3 linked regions of the Oryctolagus cuniculus genome follow. The protein of the gene in region 2 interacts with the protein of the main gene of each other region in a biochemical or structural test. Links are inferred from orthologs where the notes say so. Each region holds a gene or a part of one and is shown on either strand. Other genes may lie near its edges. The genes, in order: JAM3, PARD3 and JAM2.

Region 1 (3,729 bases), on a different chromosome or scaffold from region 2:
TCTGTAACATCTATGTACAGCAACATCTACACCAAAAGCCAGAAGCACCGCCTGTTCAGGCCTTGAGCCTTCAATTCACATTCACATCTTAAAAATACTTGAGGGCTCCTGCTCTGTCTACAGTTTCACAGTAACAGGCAACTGCTTCCCCAACTCCACACCTTAATGCTGTCTCCTCTGACAGATCCAGCTCCCATGGCACCGGGGTAGATGGTTGGGGTGTAGGAAGGGAGGCAACAGGCCACCCCATCTTACGACAGCCGAGAAGGGAGCAGAGTGTTAAGCCCCAAGAAGTAGACTGGGGAGCTATCCCCTCCTACCAAGAGGAGGTGAAGATGAAGGGACAGTCTTAACTCTAAGCAGGCGAGACAGCAATGCAAAAGAAGACAGGTACCACGGAGGAATTGTTGCCTACGACTTCTGCAAAATATCCCGTAACAAAGTATGTCACATAACTTACAAAGGAAAGTCAACAAAAGGCTCAAGTAAAAAAACTGTCAAAGTACAAAAAAATTAAGACACTGAAAGTTGAATCACAAGGTGACTATGTTTTTCTACATAAAAACCATCCTTTAGGCACACAATGGAATTAGATGTTCCTTTTGAGAAACTCCTTGCTTCAAACCCCTTCACATCATGAGTGTAGCCCAGCGGTGTCTCTGAGGCTAAGAACATCTGCTCTTGAAGAACAAAGGCTTTGGATGATGTTTTTAATGTCCCCCACAAAGTGAGCACTGTCTTGGGCAGATAAAATATTTTAAATCAAAATTAGAAAACTGCTTTTGATTCAGGCGTGTGCTGTCCTCGCCATCAGGCTTTTTACCCTGGCTGTACTGCCCGACATGCTTCAGAAGGCTGGGCTGGCTGCTGCCACACAATGCTTTATTGTGAGCAGACGGAGAACCTGTGGTGCCGGGCGCTTTCTTCATGGCAAAGAGGAACGGTGGGATTCCTCTGTAAAAATACTGCAGTGGACAAACTTGATTTCAAAACTGCCCTTGGCCCTGGACAACCTCATTGAACTACACAAATAATTAAAATGAACTTTAGAAATGGCAGTAACTGCTTTGTTTTGTGAGCCGTCCATAGCCATAAAAAGGTCTGTCACGAGAACCCAAAGGCTGGGATGCCACAAGTGCTCCAGGACGCGTGCATACCACCGTGGAGGCGAAGGGTCCAGCACCTCAGGGGTTGTAAAGATGGAAGGGGGCGGGGGGCATCCTGGCTGTGACTCACCCTGGGAGGTGAACAGAGTGGTCTCTACGTGGACACCTGAAGGCTTCCGGGGGTCTTGGGGAGAGGCAGTTCAAAGCTAACCTGAGAGCTCCTTAGGTTTGCTTGGACAGACAGATTTCAATACTGCTAGATGAGAATTTTTCAAAGGTTTCCTAAGTAACAACCATCTGATGTACAGATGTCCTAAGTTCTCTTATGAAAAATGCTAAACCTTATGTGGCAAAAGGAATGTTCCAGTAAGCTTTCTTGAGAGGAGTCCTTGGATAAAATACTCTTAATTACTGATATTTTCCAATTCAACACTATTTGCTTGGAACTTCTACATTAAATTGACCTTTGTTTAAAAAAATAGGTTAACATTGTATGACAATATATTTACAGTTTAAATAGAAATTTTCTTCAATAATCAAAATACATCTTTAGCAGAAATTTAGAATGTAAAATTTTATAAAATAAACGAGACCCATAAAAAAGCATATTTCCGTACCATTTCTGACTTAGCCTATGACAGAGGTTTTGCTTCAATGCTGACACCCTCTTGGACATGCAGGGTTCCCCAGATTAGAAGACCCCTCTTCCAGCAAGGATTTACCTTCCTGATTTTTGGTTGTTTTTATAAAATGCTGATCCAAAAAGATTTTCCAAGATGGCTACTACAACAGTAACCACCAGAGCCTTTAGGAACACAGTGTGGGGGGCCTGTTGGCAGTGGAACAAGGCTGTCATGTGAGCCTTTTTCTGGGTTCACAGATGCAAATGTGGGCTGAGGGCAGTCACACAGCTGCCTTGTCACCTCCCATGGGCCCATCTGGCTGCTTGACAGCCAATGACAATACACTGGCTTCACAGAGCCTGTGCCTGAGAGCTGCTGTGATCACCCTAATAGGCGTGGGAATCCAAGTCGGTGTGTTCATTCTGTTTCCTTGTGGTTACCATGCCCATCTTGAGGAAAAATCTTTTATTCGTGTGGCTTGTTAAAAGAGTAAGAAAGGAGTAGCGGTCAACTTTGGCCAAAACAAAAAGCTTCTGCATGAGTGTCAAGCTCTGTCCTGGTGCACTCAGCAGGTTCACGGCTGCCCCGGACAGGAGATTCTAGTAGAGGTATTTGCACTGCTTTCAGCCACACGGCCAGGTTTCAGATCACAAATGATGACTTGTGCCTGAAGTCACCCTGCAAAGCCAATACAGATTAACAGCCAAGAGACCCCAGGGGCAGTGAGAAACAGAAAAACTAGCAAACTAAATGTGGGCCAAACGTGTCCTGGAGACTGAGCCATACTAAAAGCAAGTGTGAATCCCATTAGTGTGTGCATGCCACCGTGAAGGACTGAGGAGTGCAGGGTGTACACAGGAACTCAAAGATCTCCCTATGGGGCCCACTTGGTTTCCCGGCTGGGCATACCTGGACTTCCAGCTACTTACCTCTTCGTCTGTCCTGATATAGTTAACTCCATCTGACTTCCCTGGGGTCTTGTAACTGTGGACAGAAGGGGGCAATTCAGTGGCCTCATGCTCTGATCAAGGCTAGCTTGGGCTTAGATTTTTTCAGGCAAGGCGGGCTCACCTCTCTCCATCCTGCCTGTTGTTGATGAAGTAGCCACGTCTGTATGCACAGCAGATGCCCAGCGTTATCAGGGCCAGGACAGCAAGGACAACCAGAACACCCCCAATGATGCCAGCGATGTTGAGGTCATCTGAGAAGGAAGTTGAGGGACAAGATGACACATACCAGCTGTTCCTTAGGAAGACTTGAGCCCTCAGCCCCTTCCCCCGCCCTCCCAGACTCAGCCCTCTACCCACCCCAGCCAACCAGAGCAAACTGAGGGCACTAAGAGCTTTCTTCATCTAGAACACCATAACCCTGACTGAAGGGGTGAAAAGAACAGAGGCTGACAGTTCAAATGCACTGACACTGCATTCTGTGTTACAAAGGGCTTGGTAATATATAGAAAAATTTAAAATCCTCTGGCTAAATGCCCAAGACTGTTACTAATGGGAGAAATGGTTACATTGTATGGACAAGTTTAGGTGCCAGGAATCCAAAGTGAGTAAAAATTAATTTCCAGGATCTCACTTTCTTGTGAATTATTTGAAAGACGAAAGCTAGTTCCCAAGACTGGGAAGAAGCTCCTGGATTCATCCTGGCCCAGCCCTGGCTGTTGTGGCCATCTGGGGAGTGAAACAGTGGATGGAAGATTTTTCTGTCTCTTCCTCTCTGTAACTCTGTATTTCAAATAAATAAATAAATCTTAAAAAAAAAAAAAAAACTAGGAGAGACCTTGCCCTTCTACTGCACTGGCCCCCTAGCCTCCCACCTGCAGGCCTCTTAGAGGAAAGTCCCTGGGAGTCCTTTATCATTTCTACATGCTGGGCGATGCACTTCCCTGTGAGAGCACTGGTGGCTGTTTCCTTTATGCACATAAGAATGCAGGGAATTTATCAACAAAAGTCAGTTAATTTGAAAACTCAAAATTCTCCATTACTCTAGTATGC
Region 2 (4,318 bases):
GTGCTGTGGCGCAGCGGGTTAAAGCCCTGGCCTGCATCTGTGCTGGGAGTGAAGGTCAGCGTGTCCACTGTGCGGCCATTCTTACACAGGGACGTCTATCACGGCCATCCGGGGCAGGACAGGGCCTTCAAGAGCACAGTAAGCACACAGTAAAGCCATGGCCTGCGACACTGGCGTCCCATGTGGCTACCAGTTCGAGTCCCAGCTGCTCCACTTCCAATCCAGCTCCCTGCTAATACACCTGGGAAAGCAGCAGGAGATGGCCCAAGTACCTGGGCCCCTGCACCCACGTGGGAGACCCAGAAGAAGCTCCTGGCTTCAGCCTGGCCCAGCCCTGGCTGTTGAGACCATCTGGGGAGTAAACCAGCAGATGGAAGACCGCTTTCTCTTTCAAATGCACACACACACACACATATAAAGAATTATATCTGTGAACTACATGGAGTCTGCTGTTTGTGCTACTATAACAGGAACAGGAGAATTCTGTTATAATTGACATGCATTTGCCGTGACCATGAAAATCTCATGTGTTAAATTCCGTATTAAAAAAAGACTTGACTCTTTTGATGATTAAAGGATTCACTCTAAAATGCCTACAGAAAACGTGTCTCTACGTGATTCTGTAGCTTGCATTCCCTTCCGAGCAAGCAAGGCTGTGAGAAAGACACAGACACGCTGCCTCTGCTTCAGTAAACACTCAGGAAAGCCGTGTCCGTGGCCACAGCAAGAACACGGCTGGCGCACGCCTGGGCCTGAAGACAAAGTCGCCCTAGCATCTCACCATCTCACGTTCGTCTTACCACAGCTGAATCTATTCTTCTAAAAGATTTTATTACTGGCCGGCGCTGCGGCTCACTAGGCTAATCCTCCACCTGCGGCACCGGCACCCCAGGTTCTAGTCCCGGTTGGGGTGCCGGATTCTGTCCCGGTTGCTCCTCTTCCAGGCCAGCTCTCTGCTGTGGCCCGGGATGACAGTGCAGGATGGCCCAAGTGCTTGGGCCCTGCACCTGCATGGGAGACCAGGAGGTAGCACCTGGCTCCTGGCTTCGGATCAGCACAGCGCAGTTGTTATTTGCCATTTGGGGGGTGAACCAACAGAAGGAAGACCTTTCTGTCTGTCTCTCTCTCACTAACTCTGTCAAAAAAAAAAAAAAAAAAAAGATTTTATTATTTATTTGAAAGGCAGAGTGACAGAGACAGGGGAAGAGAGAAAGAATCTTCCATCCACTGTTTCACTGCCAAATATCCCCAACAAGTGGGGCTCGGCCAGGCCAAAGCCAGGAGCCTGGAACTCCATCCGGGTCTCCCAGGTGGGTGGCAGGGAGACCAACCACTTGGGCCACCATCCACTGCCTTCCCAGACTCGATGGCAGGCAGCAGAGCAGCCAGGAATTGAACAGGCACCCCAAAACGGACAGCCGCATCACAGACAGCGGCTTAACCCACAGCACCACAACACCGGCCCCTGACCCAATCACCTCGGTAAAAACTATAATCGTTTAAGAAAAAATGAAATCTATAAGCCCTCCACCTGTCAACAAAGAGCATTCGGACAGAGCCTTGGTGATAACATGCTTGGCGTTCGTTCCTATCACAGTTTTCACAACACACGTAACCTCTCTTCACTCTGAGACACAGGCTTCACGTCCATCTCGGGGCTCACAGGATCCCTCCTAAGGGACGGCCTGTGGCCTCTGGAATAAGGCTCCTGCTGTGGTACTGTGGGTTAAGCTGCCACCTGTGATGCCAGCATACCACACAGGCACCAGTTCGATTCCCAGCTGCTCCACTTTCAACCCAGTTTCCTGCTAAAGGCCGGGGAAAGCAGTAGAAGATGGCCCAAGTGCTTGGGCCCCTGCACCTCATCAGGGACCCAGATGAAGCTCCTGGCTCCAACCTGGCCCTGATCTGGCTGCTACAGCCACTTGGGGAGTGAGCCAGCAGGTGGAAGATCTCGCTCTCTGTCTCTGCGTGCAACTCTAATAACCTTAAATAAACAACAATCAGGCTCCTGCTGTCAGACTTCTACACCACTCAGTTCTTGCAGAAGCAAAAGCCTGGGGAACTGAATATCGCCACCCATAACTTCCCTCTCCTAGGGGCACTCGCCATCAGAGAGGACGAGAGGAAGCACACGGACGCTTTCACAGATTTTCTGAATCCGGACAAACCGTCGCCAACGATGTCCACGGGCACTGAGCCTGTCAACCATTTCCGGGTTTGCTGATTCAATGGGAACAAAGATGACATTCTAATTGTTGAGCTTAGGAAAACCACGTTTCCTCAACATCTTTCCTGGACACAGCGCCCTCCTGGGGAACCACCCCCCCCTCAGCAGTGCCTCATGTTCTCCTGTGAACTTCATGGATTCAGAGCGCCCGGCAAGTGCCCTGCTGGCTTGGTCACTCAGTCATTCTGCACAGTTACAGAGGGAGACCTATCTTCCACCCACTGGCCCACTCCCCAAATGGCCGCAATGGCTGGGGCTGGACCAGGCTGAAGCCCGGAGCTCCATCCAGGTCTCCCACATGGGTGCAGGGGTCCAAGCCCTTGGGTCACCTTCTGCTGCTTTCCCAGGCCATAGCAGGGAGCTGCGTCGAGGTGGAGCAGCCGGGACATGAAGCAGCTTTGACCGGTGCTCATACGGGACGTAGGCGCCGCAGGCAGCCGCTTTACCCACTGTCCATTTCCCGCTTCACTCTCCGTTGGACAAACGCTCAGACGTGAGCCCCCCACCAGCTCTCCCACGGTCCACCTCTGAGAAACAGGATGGGCTTCTCCTTGAACCCGGCGTCTTCCAAGACGGAGCCACCTCAGCGACACACACAGATGAGGGGCCACACACGTTCTGGTCACAGGGACCCCCCAGGGCAACAGCAAGCGCCTGCCGGGCTTCCATTCTCTCATCAGAAAATCATCTTCCACACTCATCAGAAAAGCAGCAACCCAAACACCGCTGGTAATAAGACGCACCACGACGCCCTCCCCGCACAGCTGCAGGCGACATCTCACATGCAACACGTGACCTCCGAGGCCAAGGGTAAGGTTAAGGCAAAACTGCCCTTGAAAATCACTTACGCAGCCGGCACAGCAGGGGCACATTCAGCAGTCTTTTTCCAGAGCCCTAGCACTGCCAGTTTTCTTGCAGTGCTGGGAGACGCTCCCGTTTCTCTGGCTGAACACCAGAAGAAATGAGTCTGGTGCCTGCAGAAGAATACGGATTCCAGGCAAACATTTACAGTAGAATTAGCATAAATGCACACAACACAAGGCAACTGCAAACTGATCACGACGCAGCCAAGAGAACCGATGCATGATTTCAAAGCAAAACAGAAGCAGCCACCAAAGACCACGACCAAGGCAGGACCGCGCTGGTCACCCGTGGATGAAGCACCCTCAGAGTATTCCGGAACCAAGCACGTCTGCTCTGTGGCCCCGCAGGCATCAAACACCACGCGGACAGCAGACGGCATACTCCAGGCTCCGACGAGACCTCGCGCTCCCTGGTCGTCCACGGACACTTAACTTCAGCAAGCCCTGTGACTTCATCTTTTTTCAAAAAAGAAGCCACACAGCAGGGAAGAACCCACGAGGAGCCCCACCGCACTGAAGCATGCTATAGAAATCACTGCTTTGAGAACAGGTGCCATCCCCACACAGGGAGCTTGAGAACTGGAAACGTGAGGGTTTCTTTAAGTCTCTTTAATTCAGACACCTGTGCAACAAGCACCTGGTGTTCTAAATCTGTCTGACAGAAGCTGCCCAGAGCGCAGCAGCATTACGCTGATGGCCACTAGAACAAAGAGAACCAGGCTCTTCCCAGGACCACCATCGGGCAGCTAATGGAATGCAAGGTACCCTTTGCCCAAAAACCTACCACGGGGTGGGCGTTTGGCACAGCGGTTAGGATGCCCTGGGGGGCACCTGCACCCAGTATCAGAGTGCCTGGGGTGGAGTCCTGCTCTACACCCCACGCCAGCTCCCTGCTAATGCACACCCTAGGAGGCAGCAGGGGACGGCCCAAGTGTTTGGGCCCCTGCACCCATGTGGGAGATCCAGACAAAGTTCCTGGCTCCTGGCTGTTACAGCCATTTGGGGAGTGAACCAGCACATAGAAGATCTCTGCCTATCTCTCTCAGTGTCTCTGACACTCAAATAAATAAAATGAATTAAGCTTTTAGAAGCCTCTGGGTGTCATGAAGGAAGAGGAGCAGACTTGGCCTGTGTGCTCTGTCATAGCATGAATTAGCAAGGCTAAATTGCAGCAAAAAGCAGGACAGAATGGCATGTGTTCAAGAAGGCTTAACTCAGAACTGGC
Region 3 (3,729 bases), on a different chromosome or scaffold from region 2:
TTTCTTGATGAAATTTAGTACTTCCCGTAAGATTAAACCTACATAAATAACCCAACTTTCCATTTTTTTAAAACACTTTTAAAAAGTGTTATTTAAGGTATACAAATTTCATACATACAGATTTAGTAACATAGTGATACTTCCCACCCCACCCTCCTCCTTCCTCTCTCATTCCCTTGGATGACTAATGGGAAACTACTTCATACAGGGGAAAAGGAATAAACTTAAAGAAGGTATACTTACTGGAAGGCGGTTTCTTCTACAAAAAAAAAAAAAAAAGTATGTGTCATTAATGCAAGAGATAACACGGAATGATACAGAGTCACAGAGCTTAATTTCTAAAACACCTCGGTTCTCACCTGCTGACACTTGTACTTTCTAAATCAAGGACTGGCAAATTTTTACTGTAAAGAGTCCAGACAGTAATATTTTAAACTTCGGGGGTCTGGAGGCAAATATCAACAATATACACAGGTACTTTTACAACAAGACAGAAAGCACATTTCTAAAATTTCTATTGATGACATTCAAAACTGAATAATAATCAAAGTCTTATAATACAGGTTTAATAGTTAGAAGAAAGGAATTTTCCCCTTAATTTCAGTTGAAAGCTAGTGCTCCCTATCATCGTATAGACTGCAAATTTTCATCTGTAAAAGCTGTTTTTAGCTCATGGGCCAATAGACAAACAGATGGGGGGCCAGATTTGGTCCTCTTGTCATAGTTTGCCAGCTCCTATTCTAAACGCAAGTCAAAGTATTATGGCTCTCTTGACTAGGTTTTCTGCCAGATTAAATGTGAAGCAACATTCTTGGCAAATGAACTCCTAGTATCCAAGTATGCTCTTTAACTAATTCACTATTTTAAGAAAACTTTGCTCAGGAATGCTTCATTAAAATACTCAGATGATAAATTTTGAATGTGTACAGGCATCGTACTAGTGTGTACTTTCATTGGTAACCAGCAGGGGGACACAGGTGGAGTTCATTCATAAAATTATATTACAATAGAGTACATTGGAATACTATAAACATGAATAATTATTATTAATTCACAGAGCAGTTATTCTTAGTTCTAGAAAATCTCTTTGGATCCATGTTCACAGAAAAAATTTATCACATATAATATTCAATGTATCTCCTGATAGAGTTCTACTGTAAACTTGAAGAATGAAAATCCCCGTACAGAAACAACACTAATACATTAGGTTCCTAGTTTTGACTGAACAATTCTCATCTAAATACATCTGTGCATTTGACATTCAATAATTCACTATTCTGTACTTATAAATATTTCATTTATTACAATGAAACTGCTTACAAAATAAGAAATTAGTTTATCTCTTGAGACATATAATTCCTAACTTAAAAAAAATCTTAAACACATATAAATAAGCTATAAATATTGGCCTACAATGAATATATCTATCTCATGGCAGAGTGCCATGTCTCGGATGTCTCACATATCTCTGTTGTTTCCTGCAATTTTATAATGAGATAGTTCTGTCTTTTCTTCCTAGGGTTGCCACGGTGCTTTGTAACCCACCTGCATGTCATCATAGAGATTTTCTGTAGTAGAAAATCAACAACAAACATTTTCCAGAGTTTTCTAGAAAGTCTTTAGGGTATGTCCATCGGAAGTTGTGAAAGTGCACTTACTTGAAAAGTAACCTTTCCTCTGAGCATAGCACACGCCAAGGCCACAAACCGAAATCACTAAGGCCACCACCACTACGGCTGCTATGATGCCACTTATGTTGAGGTCATCTAGAATGTGAAGTAAACCACGCATGAATCCATTTCAGGTAGCTGAGCAGAGGGAGCATGACATGGAAAAGGTTCAAACAAAGCTCCCGCTTTATAGTCAAATCACAAAGCAAAGTTTCTTATTTTTGTAGCTTGTTCAGCTAATTCACTTCCAGGACATGGCTCAAAATTGACTGCAATATTAATAGAACTAAGTTTTATAAGGATCTTAAATTTTAAAAAAGTTCTATGATCCCGAAATAAAATGTATTTATTTGGTATTCTTTTACATTAATTTGGGCATGAGATAAGTCACAGAATTTAATATTGGTTAAAAGCAAAATTAAAAAAAGAAAACAATACTGTTTGGGTTGGCGCCATTGTGGGTAAGCAGTTGCCTGCAGCACTGGCATCCCATATGGGCACCAGCTTGAGTCCTGGCTACTCCACTTCCAATCCAGCTTCCTGCTAAGGCACCTGGAAAAGCCGTGGAAGATGACTCAGGTACTCGGGCCCCTACACCTATTTGGGAGACCTGAATGAAGTGCCCAGCTCCTGCTCTGGCCTGGCCCAACCCTAGCCATTGCAGCTATTCAGGCAATGAACCTGCAGATGGAAGATATCTCTATCTTTCTGTCGATCCATGTCTCTCTACGACTCTAACTTTCAAATCAATCAATAAATATTTAAAAAGAAAAAAGCATATAGTTCTGGGGCAAGCATGGTAGCACAGCAGGTTAAGCCGCTGCCTGGATGCTGGCATCCCATATGAGTCCCAGTGAGTGTCAGCCACTCCACTTCCAATCCAACTCCCTGCTAATGCTCCTGGGAAAGCAGCAGAAGAGGGCCCAAATGCTTGGCTCCCCGCCACCCAACTGGGAGACCTGGATGGAGTTCTAGGCTCCTGGCTTCAGCCTGCCCATGCCTAGGCTGTTGTGGCCATTGTGGGCAAAGCAGCAGAAGGAAGTGCTCTTTTCCCCTCTCTGTAACTGCCTTTTAAATAAATAAATCTTCAAACAAAAAACATATAATTCTAAAATATACTCTTTTTTATAGTAGTAGTCCATAAATTTGATATATACAGTAGTATGTCCAATCTAAGGGCAATTATTTGACAAAAAAAAAAAATGTCCTGTACTTGGTAGGAGAATTTGACATCCATGAATATTTTACCCTAAATGCAAATTCTGACAAAAAATTTCTTGTCCAGTAAGTGCTAAGTCAGGATACACATTTTACACTGTTTTCTTCAAGGAAACTGAGGATGGAAGAAGAGTGAATTAGAGGTACGTTGCATTCATTTGTCATCTTCTGTGAGGTACTGAGCAAGTCATACAACTGTATTAAGCTTCAGCAAAGAGAAAATGTAACAATAAGTCTGAAAATGTTCTGTGTTCTTTCTTTGGGGGAGAAAAGTCCACTTTAAAAGGAAGATGCCATTATTCTACAGTAAAAGAAAGAAGTCGAACTGGTGAAAGGGAAAGTAGGATTGGGATCTGCTGAATCTGTTCAACGAGGCATCTTGGAAATCATCAGCAAGTCCTACAGAATTTCTGCAGAACAGTTAACAGAGTCTGGTTTTCTTTACAAGTTACTAGTAATAATTCACAAAGAAAATGAATTCAAAAATTCATATAATGAGAGGTCACCACAAAAATCCATGGAAATGCATATGATGAGAAAAATACACATGGATTTCAAATTCCTTTTACATGAAATAAGCTTACCTTTCAATTCCATTTTCCAGAAACTTTTTGAAGTTTCTTTGTATTTCAAAAGATGGAAATGCCAAACCAAGTCACGAAACACCTAGTCTTAATGGATGAGTACTAAACTAATTTTAACTTTTAAGCTAGCTTATACCTCAAGAGTAGATAAGTAGGAATTATTTTCAAATTAAAGTGGTCCTCCTGGAAAACAAAGTTTTAAGTTTTGTTTCTTATATAGTTATTGGGTGCTAGGGAAAAAGTAACTAGAATATCAA

Evidence for each region.
Region 1: the proteins of PARD3 (region 2) and JAM3 form a complex in vitro, tested with the Homo sapiens proteins (2 studies listed by BioGRID and IntAct, with this or other methods). The link is inferred for Oryctolagus cuniculus from reciprocal best matches to the Homo sapiens genes PARD3 and JAM3.
Region 3: the proteins of PARD3 (region 2) and JAM2 form a complex in vitro, tested with the Homo sapiens proteins (2 studies listed by BioGRID and IntAct, with this or other methods). The link is inferred for Oryctolagus cuniculus from reciprocal best matches to the Homo sapiens genes PARD3 and JAM2.

Annotation. Positions count from the first base shown.
Region 1 is NC_091432.1:128,328,934-128,332,662, reverse strand, and holds part of JAM3 (junctional adhesion molecule C), read right to left. Parts: intron 2,931-3,729; coding exon 2,801-2,930; intron 2,714-2,800; coding exon 2,659-2,713; intron 2,408-2,658; coding exon of another isoform or gene 2,372-2,407; exon of another isoform or gene 1-2,371. UniProt on the Homo sapiens protein: Junctional adhesion protein that mediates heterotypic cell-cell interactions with its cognate receptor JAM2 to regulate different cellular processes. Plays a role in homing and mobilization of hematopoietic stem and progenitor cells within the bone marrow.
Region 2 is NC_091444.1:107,619,737-107,624,054, reverse strand, and holds the start of PARD3 (partitioning defective 3 homolog), read right to left. Parts: upstream 2,915-4,318; 5' UTR 2,900-2,914; coding exon 2,756-2,899; intron 1-2,755. UniProt on the Homo sapiens protein: Adapter protein involved in asymmetrical cell division and cell polarization processes. Seems to play a central role in the formation of epithelial tight junctions. Targets the phosphatase PTEN to cell junctions.
Region 3 is NC_091435.1:20,181,969-20,185,697, forward strand, and holds part of JAM2 (junctional adhesion molecule B), read right to left. Parts: intron 1,767-3,729; coding exon 1,659-1,766; intron 260-1,658; coding exon 244-259; intron 1-243. UniProt on the Homo sapiens protein: Junctional adhesion protein that mediates heterotypic cell-cell interactions with its cognate receptor JAM3 to regulate different cellular processes. Plays a role in homing and mobilization of hematopoietic stem and progenitor cells within the bone marrow.